Nothobranchius furzeri: one gene and its partners. The protein of the gene in region 2 interacts with the protein of the main gene of each other region in a pairwise test. Links are inferred from orthologs where the notes say so. Each region holds a gene or a part of one and is shown on either strand. Other genes may lie near its edges.

What was found.
Region 1: the proteins of trim59 (region 2) and nrm interact in binary tests that used the Homo sapiens proteins (3 or more experiments, as listed by UniProt). The two-hybrid records come from large-scale screens. The link is inferred for Nothobranchius furzeri from reciprocal best matches to the Homo sapiens genes TRIM59 and NRM.
Region 3: the proteins of trim59 (region 2) and zdhhc22 interact in binary tests that used the Homo sapiens proteins (3 or more experiments, as listed by UniProt). The link is inferred for Nothobranchius furzeri from reciprocal best matches to the Homo sapiens genes TRIM59 and ZDHHC22.

What each region holds. Positions count from the first base shown.
Region 1 is NC_091759.1:8,213,592-8,217,630, reverse strand, and holds nrm (nurim), read right to left. Parts: upstream 2,801-4,039; 5' UTR 2,616-2,800; coding exon 2,465-2,615; intron 2,289-2,464; exon of another isoform or gene 2,216-2,288; intron 2,018-2,215; coding exon 1,824-2,017; intron 1,580-1,823; coding exon 1,403-1,579; intron 724-1,402; coding exon 403-723; 3' UTR 201-402; downstream 1-200.
Region 2 is NC_091753.1:52,625,755-52,629,780, reverse strand, and holds the start of trim59 (tripartite motif-containing protein 59), read left to right. Parts: upstream 1-1,226; 5' UTR 1,227-1,355; intron 1,356-1,414; exon of another isoform or gene 1,415-1,579; intron 1,580-1,950; 5' UTR 1,951-2,005; coding exon 2,006-2,260; intron 2,261-2,333; coding exon 2,334-2,555; intron 2,556-2,638; coding exon 2,639-2,848; intron 2,849-4,026. UniProt on the Homo sapiens protein: E3 ubiquitin ligase involved in different processes such as development and immune response. Serves as a negative regulator for innate immune signaling pathways by suppressing RLR-induced activation of IRF3/7 and NF-kappa-B via interaction with adapter ECSIT.
Region 3 is NC_091758.1:32,272,988-32,276,604, forward strand, and holds zdhhc22 (palmitoyltransferase ZDHHC22), read right to left. Parts: upstream 2,299-3,617; 5' UTR 2,186-2,298; intron 1,638-2,185; 5' UTR 1,636-1,637; coding exon 1,083-1,635; intron 1,004-1,082; coding exon 726-1,003; 3' UTR 501-725; downstream 1-500. UniProt on the Homo sapiens protein: Palmitoyltransferase that could catalyze the addition of palmitate onto various protein substrates and be involved in a variety of cellular processes. Catalyzes the palmitoylation of KCNMA1, regulating localization of KCNMA1 to the plasma membrane.

The DNA of each region.
Region 1 (4,039 bases), on a different chromosome or scaffold from region 2:
GAAAATTAGAGAAACTTGTGAAATAAAACAACATAAACTCAAGTTCCTGATTTATCAATGACAATATTAACCCAGTTTGTCACATTAGACCAGACACATGAGCGTCCATAATTCTGTTGCATAAATTGTAAAAGAAATGCCTTTACATTTTATTAGTGATTTCTCAATCGAGCTGTGACAAACTAGGGCGTTTCCAGTGTGAAATCTGTGTTTAAATGAGACTGAGTTTAAACGAAAACACAGAAACACATTCTGAGTTCCAGGCAACGTAAACGTTTATAAAAAAAAATGCAGCACTTCCTTTAAATGGCACAACTCTCCACTTTGTCACATACAAAGTGACAAAAACTGCCGCCTCGCTTTAGACTACAGCTGCAGTTAAAGTTGAAATTAATATTAAGATCACTTTTCCATGTGATTGCTGCTGTTCTGGTCTATTGTGGCATCAACGCTGCCTCGCTGTTGTTCTGCAATGAGGTGCACCTTGTTTCTAAACTGCGTACAGAGGTAGGCTAAATCCAGTTTGTCCAGCGAGTGAGCCAGGGCCATGTAGGTGGACAGCATCCCCGCCAGCAGAAGCCTGTCCAGGGACAGGGCCGGCAGGAGCCACAGGATGACCACCAGCTCCAGGAACACTGGGTGGCGGAAGTGGGACAGGAGTCGCTGAGCAGGAAGTGATTTATGAGACAAGGGGTCTCCTAAACCGAGACTCTTGTAGTACACCTAAAAGAGCCAAGAAATAGGTATAATCAGGGTTTTATGGTTTTAAAGGTGTACTAGAACACTTTTTTACAATTGAAAACAGTTCTACGAAACTTTGTTGGAGCTCAAAATGGCACAGGAGCCCAGAAAAATGGCCAAATACAACCCCAGAGTGAGTGTTGGCCCGGCTGAGGTCCACACTGGGAGATGAATGAAAATAAACCAACTGATGTTGAGATGAGAGGGCTTGTGGAGGAATGAAGACGAGCATTTGGATCCCATCCTATGGATGTATCTGGGATCCATTCATAGCCTGGATACCACCAGTACATTCTGGAACATGAGTGGTGCTCCAGCATTCTTCTTTGTTGTTTTCCTCTCATCCAATAAGACAATTAGCAGTAGCTTGGGCTAGCATTAGCGATAGGTTTAGTTAGCATTAGCGGTAGTCAGGATAGCCTTATGAGTTGGTAGGGCAAGCATTAGCATTAGCTTTGTTATGAAGCTTATGGTGTCTAATGTAGCATACCAAAGAGTTTGTGCTAAACCAGGCCGCACAAACTCTTTGGAATGCTACATTAGACACCCCAAGCTTCATAACAACAATTTAAATGTAGTTTTAAATTCTAGGACTGTCTTAATCATTTGCTTGAGGAAAAAAACATATCTAACATGTTTCTTTGATACATGACTTTCTCACCTGCTTGATGCCCAGTAGTTCTGGGTAATCAAAAATCATGAGGATGCTACAGATGATGGACCAGCAGAGGAAGTGTAGAGAAAAGCAGAGCAGGGGGAACCAGACACTCCAGGGTGCAATACGCACCGACCACAAGCAGGGAGCGCCAGTCACTGTCTGCCAGTAACGCATCAAGACCTAACACAGGAAAGTAAATGATTATGTAGTTATAAAGTATGCAGGTGATTAAGATTAATACTTCCTATAGAAATTAATGGCACATCTGTAAATTAGGGGTTATTAAATTATTTCAATTGTGGGGCATTTAGTTCACCTGTGATTTTATTCCAACCAATGTATAATCTGTCCATCACTGCAGTTAGCATATTATTATGGTTGTTCTAGAATATTAAAGCATATATTTTCAGTACTTTTAGTGTACCTGCAGAGCAAGTGCAGTAGTGAAGCAGTAAAACGTCCTGTTTAAGGTTCCCAGAGCTGACTGTAGGACCTGTTTGACCGGAGACCAGGCGAGCAGGCTGTGTTGTGCAGTGAAAAGAGCCACTAAACACACATCCACAGCTAGAGACCAATGCACCGAGCTGTCCCTCAGAGCCACAGACCAAGGTATGGAGTCTTAATGGAGACAAATAACACTTTATAAATAGTCATTTCATTTAGGTAGTATTAATCAAGATTAAATCAAAATTATTACAACAAAACTAGAGGCACATGTTATGTATCAAAATGCATTTGCTGCATATATGATGAATTTACTCATACAGATATATAAAATTATGTCAGTAAATTTTCAAGAATAAAGGAAAAGGCTATCGCCCAACGTGGGGCTCGAACCCACGACCCTGAGATTAAGAGTCTCATGCTCTACCGACTGAGCTAGCCGGGCTGTGGGGACACACAGTCACAGTAGACATTATCATAGTGACTGAATAGTTTCGTCCAGGCTTACTGAAGTTGAATATAATTTCTCCATACCTGAATTTGCTTAACAGCCGTAAATGTGAGTTTAAATGTTATTTCTGAACAGTGCGTTAACTTTCCAGGCTACCATCTGTCGCTTACCTTGACAGAGTCTCGTCTCCCCTGTAATGTTATGATAAATTGCTCGAAACGACAAAAACCGAATGAAATCTGCTCCGGATATGAAGACAAACAACAAGTTTAGCAGGGAAACCGCGCAGAGCCCCCACTTGCGTATAGTGACTGACGCCATTTCAATCAACTCCTCTTCATGTCACTTCCACAGTTCCGGTGTTGAAGTGCTTGTGCGACACGAGGGCGCTGTTGCCCATCTAACTCTTGGTTTCAAAGCGTCGTGAAGAACCTTGTTTTGAACTTTTCCAAACAGAGCAAATGCCATATACGGCAGCAGAAATAAGTGAAAGCCTATGAAGAAAAGTAGAAAATAAGGTTTTAAACGAAATTAGATATTGCTTACGACCTTACCACCCTAAAGTACGCCCGATCTCGACAGCAATCTAGGCTAGAACCTGGTCAGTAGTTGGATGGGAGACCGCTTGGAATACCATGTGCTGTAAAGCTTTTCACTGCTCCAACACACACACAAAAAATGCAGTTAAGAAAAAAAAATTAGGGGGCAGCTCAGAGGGTAGAACAGAAGGTTCAGTAATTGGAAAGTTGCAGGTTCCATTACAGGTCCTGACAGAGAACCCCGTTGAAGCGTCCCTGGGCAAGACACCCAACCTTCCCCAGCAGCTGGTGGTGGTTGAAGAAGAAGAGGTGCTTCACAAAATATAACAATATAAAAAAGAATTTAGAAAATTATTAAAATATATTTAAAATGCACAAAAAATAGACAATTGTGATTAAAAATGTGGAGAAAGAGAGAGAGTGAATAGGAAAGAGGGAAATCAGTGGATCCTCATGGAAGGTGGAATAGGCAGGGAGAGCAGAACAGGGAGAGGGTGATGAAGGTCACACAAAAGCCAGCCTGAACAAGTGAGTTTTCAGCTGCTTTTTAAAGGAGTCCACAGATCTCAGGCTCAGGGGGAGAGAGTTCCAGAGTCTGGGGGCCACAGCAGCAAATGATCTGTCACCTTTGGACTTTAGCCTGGTGCTGCACAACCAGTAGGCTTTGATCACTGGACCTCAGGTCCCTGCTGGGGGTGTAGGGACTAAGAAGATCACCAATGTAAGATGGCGCTTGTCCATGTAAGGCCCTATAGACCAGAAACACGATCTTGAAATAAACCCTGAAGTTGGAGGAAATGATGGCGCCCAGTGCAGCTCTGGCTTGTAGCTCATTGCCACCAGGGTGTGTACAAATGAAGGATACACTGTACCATGTATTGGAGACCTCTGACTCAAGAAGGTGCTACACCAGTGCAGCTAATTTATTTATTACACTATGATTTGTCTTGTCTTTTTGCAATCATGCAGCCTGCAGATTTGCAGCAAATTCATAAGTGTAAATTAAATTATCTGTGTGTTGTTATGCGAGTACGTGTGTTGGGTTTCCTCAACCTAAACGTTTGTAAAAATGACAAATTAATAAACAAATAGATTCGAATGAATATTAAACGCAAAAAAGATTTTTAGATTTCACACAACAAAAGCCTGAACTTGTTCACCCATGGAGAGCATATACATTTTTTTTCAGTGTTCCTTTTTCCAGCC
Region 2 (4,026 bases):
ACAGGAGAGGAAAACCACGGCCATCCTGCGTAGAATTGTGAATCCTCCCCTTTGCATGTACTAAACAACAGCACAGTTATTTTTTAGGGTATTTTAGTTCCCTTAGGCTGTGAATACAGTGTAATTTTTTTATTTTAAGTAAAGCTGTGCTTAAATGTTACATGTTTCCCTTTCCCTGACTCCTCACTGTTGTCCGGTTTGCTAAATAATTATTGTTTTGCACATGTATTGCAAAGTGAGGCCTGAAGTCTTTCTGAAGGTGTTGCTGCTGGTGGGTTTAATATGTTTTGACCTGCCCAGACACCCTTACATTTAAGCATCACTCAGCCACAGTCTGTGTTTTCTGGAATGATCCAATGATAACATTTAGTGATACTCGAGACAATAATGAGTTTATTTCAGGAGCAGCGGTAGTGAATCTAATGTATCTCAGCTTCACTGGAAGGGGATTTAACCTCCCTGTTCACGGTCAAAGGTGTCCCATGCGTCAGACTGGAGATGTTCTAATGGGGGTTTCCTGAATCGTAAATAAACCCATGAACAGGTTTGCTGTAATTGTAGTACCTTGCAGAGTCTTTAGCCCTTTTTTGCTCCTACAAGCTAAGTGTACAAGCTTACCCTCATGTTTATTTTTCTGTTCACTTCAAACACTAGTGATGATTACACATTGTGCTCAAAACCTTTTGTTGAACATAGGGGTACTTTTTTGTTTTATTTTATTTTTTTGCAGCATTCCTTGTTAGCAAAGTGGTTTCAAATCAAAAATTATGACCTGGAAGGAATAGAAAAAGCCTATAAAACCTTTCAGGGGATGTTGGCTACCGGCTAAGTTGTCTTTAAGAAAAATAAATAGTGAAACACAAACCCAAAAGTGTGTGTGTGTGTGGGAGAGAGAGTGAGTGAGAGAGACAGTTCTGTTGTGAAATGAAGTATAATTAATCCTCTAGTGCATTTTCCTCCTGACGCCTCCCTTTCTCCTAATTGTTGGGCCTGAATTTAAACTGGAAAACGACGCGACCTGATTGGCCTGAGCAACAGATCGAGCGCATGCGCACAAGCAGAACGAGAAACTGTGCGTTAGGAACTACCGGAAAACTAAAACTTCCACATTTTACAATGGAAGACTTTTTTTTCCAAAAGTAAAATCTTACGGTGGCAAGAGAAGTTGCATCTTAAACTATTCTGGTCCCAAAAACTAATAAAGTACTAGACAGCTTTACCAGAAATGAGGTGAGACGTTTTATTTCCTGTTTAAGCTCGTGTTGCTGGACTTTACTGGATGCACCTGAAGGCAGCACCATCAGGGGAAATGAAAGCTGTTTGGGACAAACGCTACACGGCCGAGCAGAACCGCGGTGAGTCTAAAAACTTCGGGAAGACGGATTTTAAGGTGATTTGCGTCGTGTCACCTCACGAGAAAAAGACTGTGTATCGCAATAGTTGATCAAATTTACGAATGTTGCTTTTAAAGTAGTCTTTAAGCCTCCCCGCCGCGTGAGAGTGCCAGTTTTGGGCTAAAAGAAAGAAAAAAGGAAGCACAAACTATCTGGACACTTTAAACTCATCCCACAGGCCACAGGTAATGGTTTGATCCGAGACACCACTGTTGGCTCTGGGCTCTGGTGTGTGTGTGTGTGTGTGTGTGTGTGTGTGTGTGTGTGTGTGTGTGTGTGTGTGTGTGTGTGTGTGTGTGTGTGTGTGTGTGTGTGTGTGTGTGTGTGTGTGTGTGTGTGTGTGTGTGTAACGAGGAGAGGGGGTGGTCATTGTAATAAGTAATAAGATCCTGATCCAGTGTGAGCAGCACTAACAATAATGAGACATGAGAAACATCACGTAGTGTTTCCTTCAGGTATTTGTTTTATTCTTTGAGCATTAATCAGTCAGATCTTTAGGTAAATTCCAAATAAAGCTTGTTATCTGTTGTGAATTATTATAATTTTTGTCCAACAGGAACCATCCTGCAGAAGTGACAGACTTTGTTCCACCAGAGTCCTCTAGATCCGTCATGGAGACCCTTGAGGAGGACCTGACGTGCTCTGTGTGCTACTCTCTGTTCTGCGACCCGCGGGTCCTGCCGTGTTCTCACACCTTCTGCAAGACCTGCCTGGACAGCCTGCTGCAGGTGTCCACCAACTATTCCACCTGGCGTCCCCTCCGCCTGCCTATAAAGTGTCCCAACTGTTGCAGCGTGGTGGAGCTGCCCCCGATGGGTGTAGATGCTCTGCCCACCAATGTGTCCCTGCGGGCCATCATTGAGAAAGTAGGAGAGGCTGGCCCGTCTGTTCCCGTTTGTCTGAAATCCTTCTGACGGGCTTGTTTCTTTTTACTTTCAGTACCAGACGAACAATGCGCCTCGACCCCCGTCCTGCCAGGAGCACCACAGACAACCTCTGAACATGTACTGCATCCAGGATCGGCAGCTGATCTGTGGTCTGTGTCTGACCGTCGGGCAGCATCAGGGACATCCCATAGATGACCTTCAGGCCGCCTTCATCAAAGAAAAACAGACTCCATCGCTGCTGCTCGCCAGACTTTCGGAGCAGAGATGGGCGCAGGTGGGCGTCGGGGTTTGGGAGCAGGAATTCTGTGCCGTTTTTGTTTTGATTAATACGTCTAACGTCTTGTGGCTGTTGGTTAGGTGTGTGACCTGGCAGAGCAGCTGGAGCAGGACAAAGCCCGCTGTGAGGCTCTAGTGAGGCAGGACAAACAGGAAGTGGATCAGTTTTTTCTTGTGCTGGAGGGAATACTGGCCAGGAAGAAACACGCCTACCTGGAGGCTTTGGATAAAGCTGCTGCAGAGGTGTCGCTTGCATATGACCCCCTGATCCACAGAGTCAAGGAGCTTCAGGTGTGTGGACACTTCCACAATCCCAGTTCTTAGGGCTGCTTTGAAGTTTTGACTCATTTGTCTTCAACCCTCTGGGGTCCGTGGACGCTTATCCGCGTCTTTTGAACAGGTCTGATTTGGGACGCTGTAGCAGCAAGACTCCGCCTCCCTGAGTTTCCGTTTCAATTCAGCTTTAAAAAGGAGATTATAAACTACACCCCAGTTTTTAAATTGTGTTAATAAGCAACGTAAAAGCGGAGTTAAACTAAACTAAAAAATGACCTTTTTTTAGACAATCTGATAACTTGTCAAACAGCAGTTTAGTAATCCGTGAGAGGGAATGTGCTTGTGAACATAAAAAACCCACAAAAACATGAGATCCTTTTGCTGTTGCTGGAAGTCTCACATATTCAACTGATAAAAAGTATCATCATGTAGCTGAGAGAGAGAGGAAGGCCGCACGAGTAACGAGATGTGCGCAAAAAGGAGCCGCTTGGCGGGGAACGGAGTGGCGCGAACGGAGTAACAACAAACAGTTAGACAGATATTGATGGTAAACTTCATATTTTGGAGCGATCCGGACAGATATGTTGTCTCTGCAGTTTAGTAGGCTTTTATTAGGCTTATATAAAGGATGGTGAGAAGGATAAATGTCCACCAGGCAGTTCGGCTGTTTTTTGAACTGGAAGCAGAGGAAGTGGACGGAGACTCGCAGCCGGAGTCTGAAGCAAATAGCGAGGATGTTGATGACGATGTGGCAGATCCATCCTTCCTCATAGAAGAGTTGGGTCATGATGAGGTAGAGGATGAAGGCAGAGATCCAGCTCCTCGGAGATCCAACAAGAGGAGTGGGCGGCGCCGCGCAGCTGTCAGATCTCGATCTCCGCGGCGTGAGACAGAGCCACTCCCCACTCCAAAATGCATGCACATTATTGCCAAATTAATAAAATAAGTATAAATTCAGATAGTCCAGGTTGTTCTGAAAAAAATGATACCCCATAAGGCAAAATTTATTGTTTTTGTTAGAAAATACAAAAGACAAACCAAAATGAGTCAAAAACGGTGATTTACACCCAGGACCCCAGAGGGCTGATATTATTTTTTTTATTTGTTATTTGCCATATTTATTCATATTTTTTATAAATGTACAGTCTAGATTAACATTCTAAATTATAAAAAACATTCGTCATAAATGTTTG
Region 3 (3,617 bases), on a different chromosome or scaffold from region 2:
CATCGTAGCCCTTAATAAAGTTCCCTGGATAACACGTTGTTGAATCTTTATAAAAGGAGTGAATCGTAACATGATAGAAAGCTTCAAAGGCATGCAAAGCCATTTATCAATGCTTCGAGAACAGATATGGAGAAACTTGAAATATTAGAATGTGGTGCAAAAGTTCATTTATGTCAGTAAGTCAATTAAAAAGTGAAACTAATCAGATAGACTAATTACAGGCTAAGACAATTATTTGAAGTCTTTACTTGTTTTAATTGTGATGATTATGGCTTACAGACTCCCAAAATCTCTGTCAATTAGAATATTGTCGGTATTCTAAACTCAAAGTGTCACACTAATCAGCTGGTTAATCCAAAACAACTGCAAAGGGTACCTGAGCCTTTAGATGGTCTCTCAGTCTAAGATGAATTACTGAAATAAATGGATTTTTGCACCATATTCTCATTTTCAAGTTTCAGCGGCAGTTTTTCCTGACTTGTTAACTTGTATAGGCTTAGTTTGTAAATAATCTTACCTTTTTAAAAGCGACTCTATGAATATAGTCGTGTGCACTTACTTTGTCGCTTATGTGACTCATGTCGTCAATAAAACTGTGCTCTCAGCTAGTTTTACTTGAAAAAGCATCACAAAGCATCTATGTTGACATTTTATCACCTAAAAAACAGCATTTTCTACAAGATATGTTGCTGTTTGACCCTATAGTCTAAATTCACTGCTGTCCATCAGTCTTGTTTTTGTCCATCTGTGTCTTCAGAGGACGTTTCCACTGTCTGCACGGGCAAAATAAGGCCAATCATCCAGCGGTTGCCAAAAACATCCTTCAGGTTGGCTCTCCACGGGGTGCGGTTTTCCAAAAGATCCCCTCTTTGGAGCTGACACCAGGTTTGTCCTCGAGCCACCAGCAGCACCTGCTGGCAGCAGAAACCGGTACTCACCAAGCCAATGCCCAGCCACACGTACAGCATCAGCACCAGGAACAGCTGCAGGCCTGAGATGGATCCTGTGTGTGTGAGGGAGAGAGTGGAGGAATGAATGCCAAAACAAAGGAAATCATCATCTTTCTGATTTGGTGAACTCACCCATGAAGAAGTAACCAGTAGAGAGAGGGAGAAGAGTTAGAAAGGTCAGCGGGTTCTCAAAGGAGATGGAGTACTCCACAGTGAGAAAAGCAACACCCAGAACCAAGGAGTACAGGCATGTGCATGATGTATAGATGCAGAACATGATGAAGTAGCGCATGTTCTTGTTGCCGATGCAGTTTCCTGTGAAAAAACAGTGGTGGTCTCTCTTGAGAATCACTTTCTTGCACAGTTTACAAAAGTGGCGGCCGTTCAGGAGGTAGTGAGCGTCCACGTTATCAGAGCAGTGTGGGGAGCACGGAACCACGGTCTCATTGGCACTTTCTGCTGGATATTTAATAGTCATTACGTAATTCCCCAAAGCGTTGAACATCAGGAACAGGAAGGCAGCGGTGTGGAGGGCTGTGGAGCTCCTCAGGGAGAGATCTGGGTTGGGGAAGATTGTTGGGATGAAGAGGTAGAAGTATAGAATAAAGGTGGCCACGGTGGCTGTGAAGAAGTAAGCAGGCGCCACAGCGTTGAGCAGCCTCAGCTTGAACATTCTGCTGAACATTTCTGTGAGAATAAAAAACACAAATTAGGCAGGAAATTATATTTTAACATATGATTTAAAATATGATCACAGACCTTTTAAAAGTGTTTTATTTGTTGCTGGTTTGAATTATTGACTTCACCCGCATTTTATTTTATTTTATTTTATTTATTTTTGCTACCAGAAAACTGAATTTATGCTTTAATTAGACAGAGAGAAAAACAGAGGAGACAAATCAGCTGATGAGAACTCATTTCTGTGCAAATTGGGGTCAAGGGACTCTCAGGGGCCATTCCAAGAATATCCCATCCTTGTTTCAGAGATCTGCTAACCTGAAGCAAACGAGGATGTTTAAAAACACAATTTACATCTAAAACTTCGCATCTAAACCTACATCGTAACCCGTCAATCTAAAACGCAGGGAATTTCCGCAATTAACAGCATTTCAATTCCGTGGATGACAAACGCCTCCTTTGTGTTTTCTGATTATTTGGAGAATAAATCTAAATATTTGGTAAAGTCGGTGGTTTTATTCCCGTTAGGTTTTCTCCAGGGTGACACATCTGCCTACCTTCAGATGTCTGAGAGCAGAGGAGCTGTCCTTTCAGCACCACGGAGCCCTGCAGCCTCTCAAGATGATGTCTTTATTGAGAGGTGTTCACGGGAAACGTCACCAGGGCTGTGTCATTTATCTACCGCCCCCTGCTGGTCTGGATGCGTCATAATCTCATGTTTCCCTTCAGATTTCAATAATCTAATAATTTTGTATCTTTTCACTGAAAAAATAAATCCTGAAGGTTTGATGCTACAATTGCAGAAAATAAATGATCTTAATACAAATGTACTCTTTTATTTTCCTTCTTATAAATTGAAAAAAACATTTCCAGAAATATATTTTTAATAATTCTCAGTTATTTCTCCTACTGTGGTGGGATTTTTTTTCAATCTACAGTAAATTATATTGTTTACAAGACTTTTAAGATATTTTTTCTTCATATAAAGCAAGTAGACTCTTGAAATTCACCAGATTAAACCTAAAATTAAACAGCACATTGCTATTTTTATGATTATAGTGTTGGGTGAGTATACTACAGTGTGTTTAAAAGGCCATCATATTATTTATCTTTAAATTTCAACTGTCACAAAAGCATAAGAAGTCTAGAAATGTCATTCTAAATGGTAGTAAATAGAAATACAAATGTAAAAAAAGACTTTAGTCTTTCTCCTGATTAAGTTTGGTAAAAGTGCAGGAAGCAGTGTTCCAGTAGGTGGCATTCCAGCTTCAAATACTCTTCTAGGATGAGATGTCAGCTGCTATAGGAGGATTACACCATCACAAAGAAGATGAAATCACCTTGGATATGAAACTGCTTTTAACTGTTGACTTTCAGTAGATTCACAATGAAGGATTGTACCTTCAAAACAAAAGCAGACGTTTATTAATTCTGACTATTCTCTAGCTCACATTCAGTTTATTTGACTGAGCATGAAGACAATTTGCTTTTCATCAATAATACCTTTATTGTCCCATAAATGATCCACAGACATTGTGTTTTTGACCTGTTTCTCCTGCCTCAGCTGTGAGCTTGTTAGGATAATTCAACATTAAGACCCAAACACAGAGATCAGCACCTGTGTTGGAGCTTTCTGCCAACATCACTGGCTCTGTTCAACCTCTGATAAGACATGTGATCAGCCTTTCATTTTCACATTTAAATAATGGCAGTGTCGCGTCACCATCCTCTCCACATGTTATTGAATTATTGCAGAAAATTATAGAAACACATTCTTAATGTTTTTGTTGCTACTTAAGATATATTTGAGTCCACAAATGTATTTTATATGCAACAAGATCCATCAGCCATCAGCACTAATCTGTAGCTTTAAATATTGTTTTGTTGCTGTTTGTCCCAACAGGCCTGAAATTGAAGGTTTGATGGGCAACAATATTGCATAATATTTATGAAGTTGTCAAGTTTTGCAGATTAGCTGCTTCAGACTGC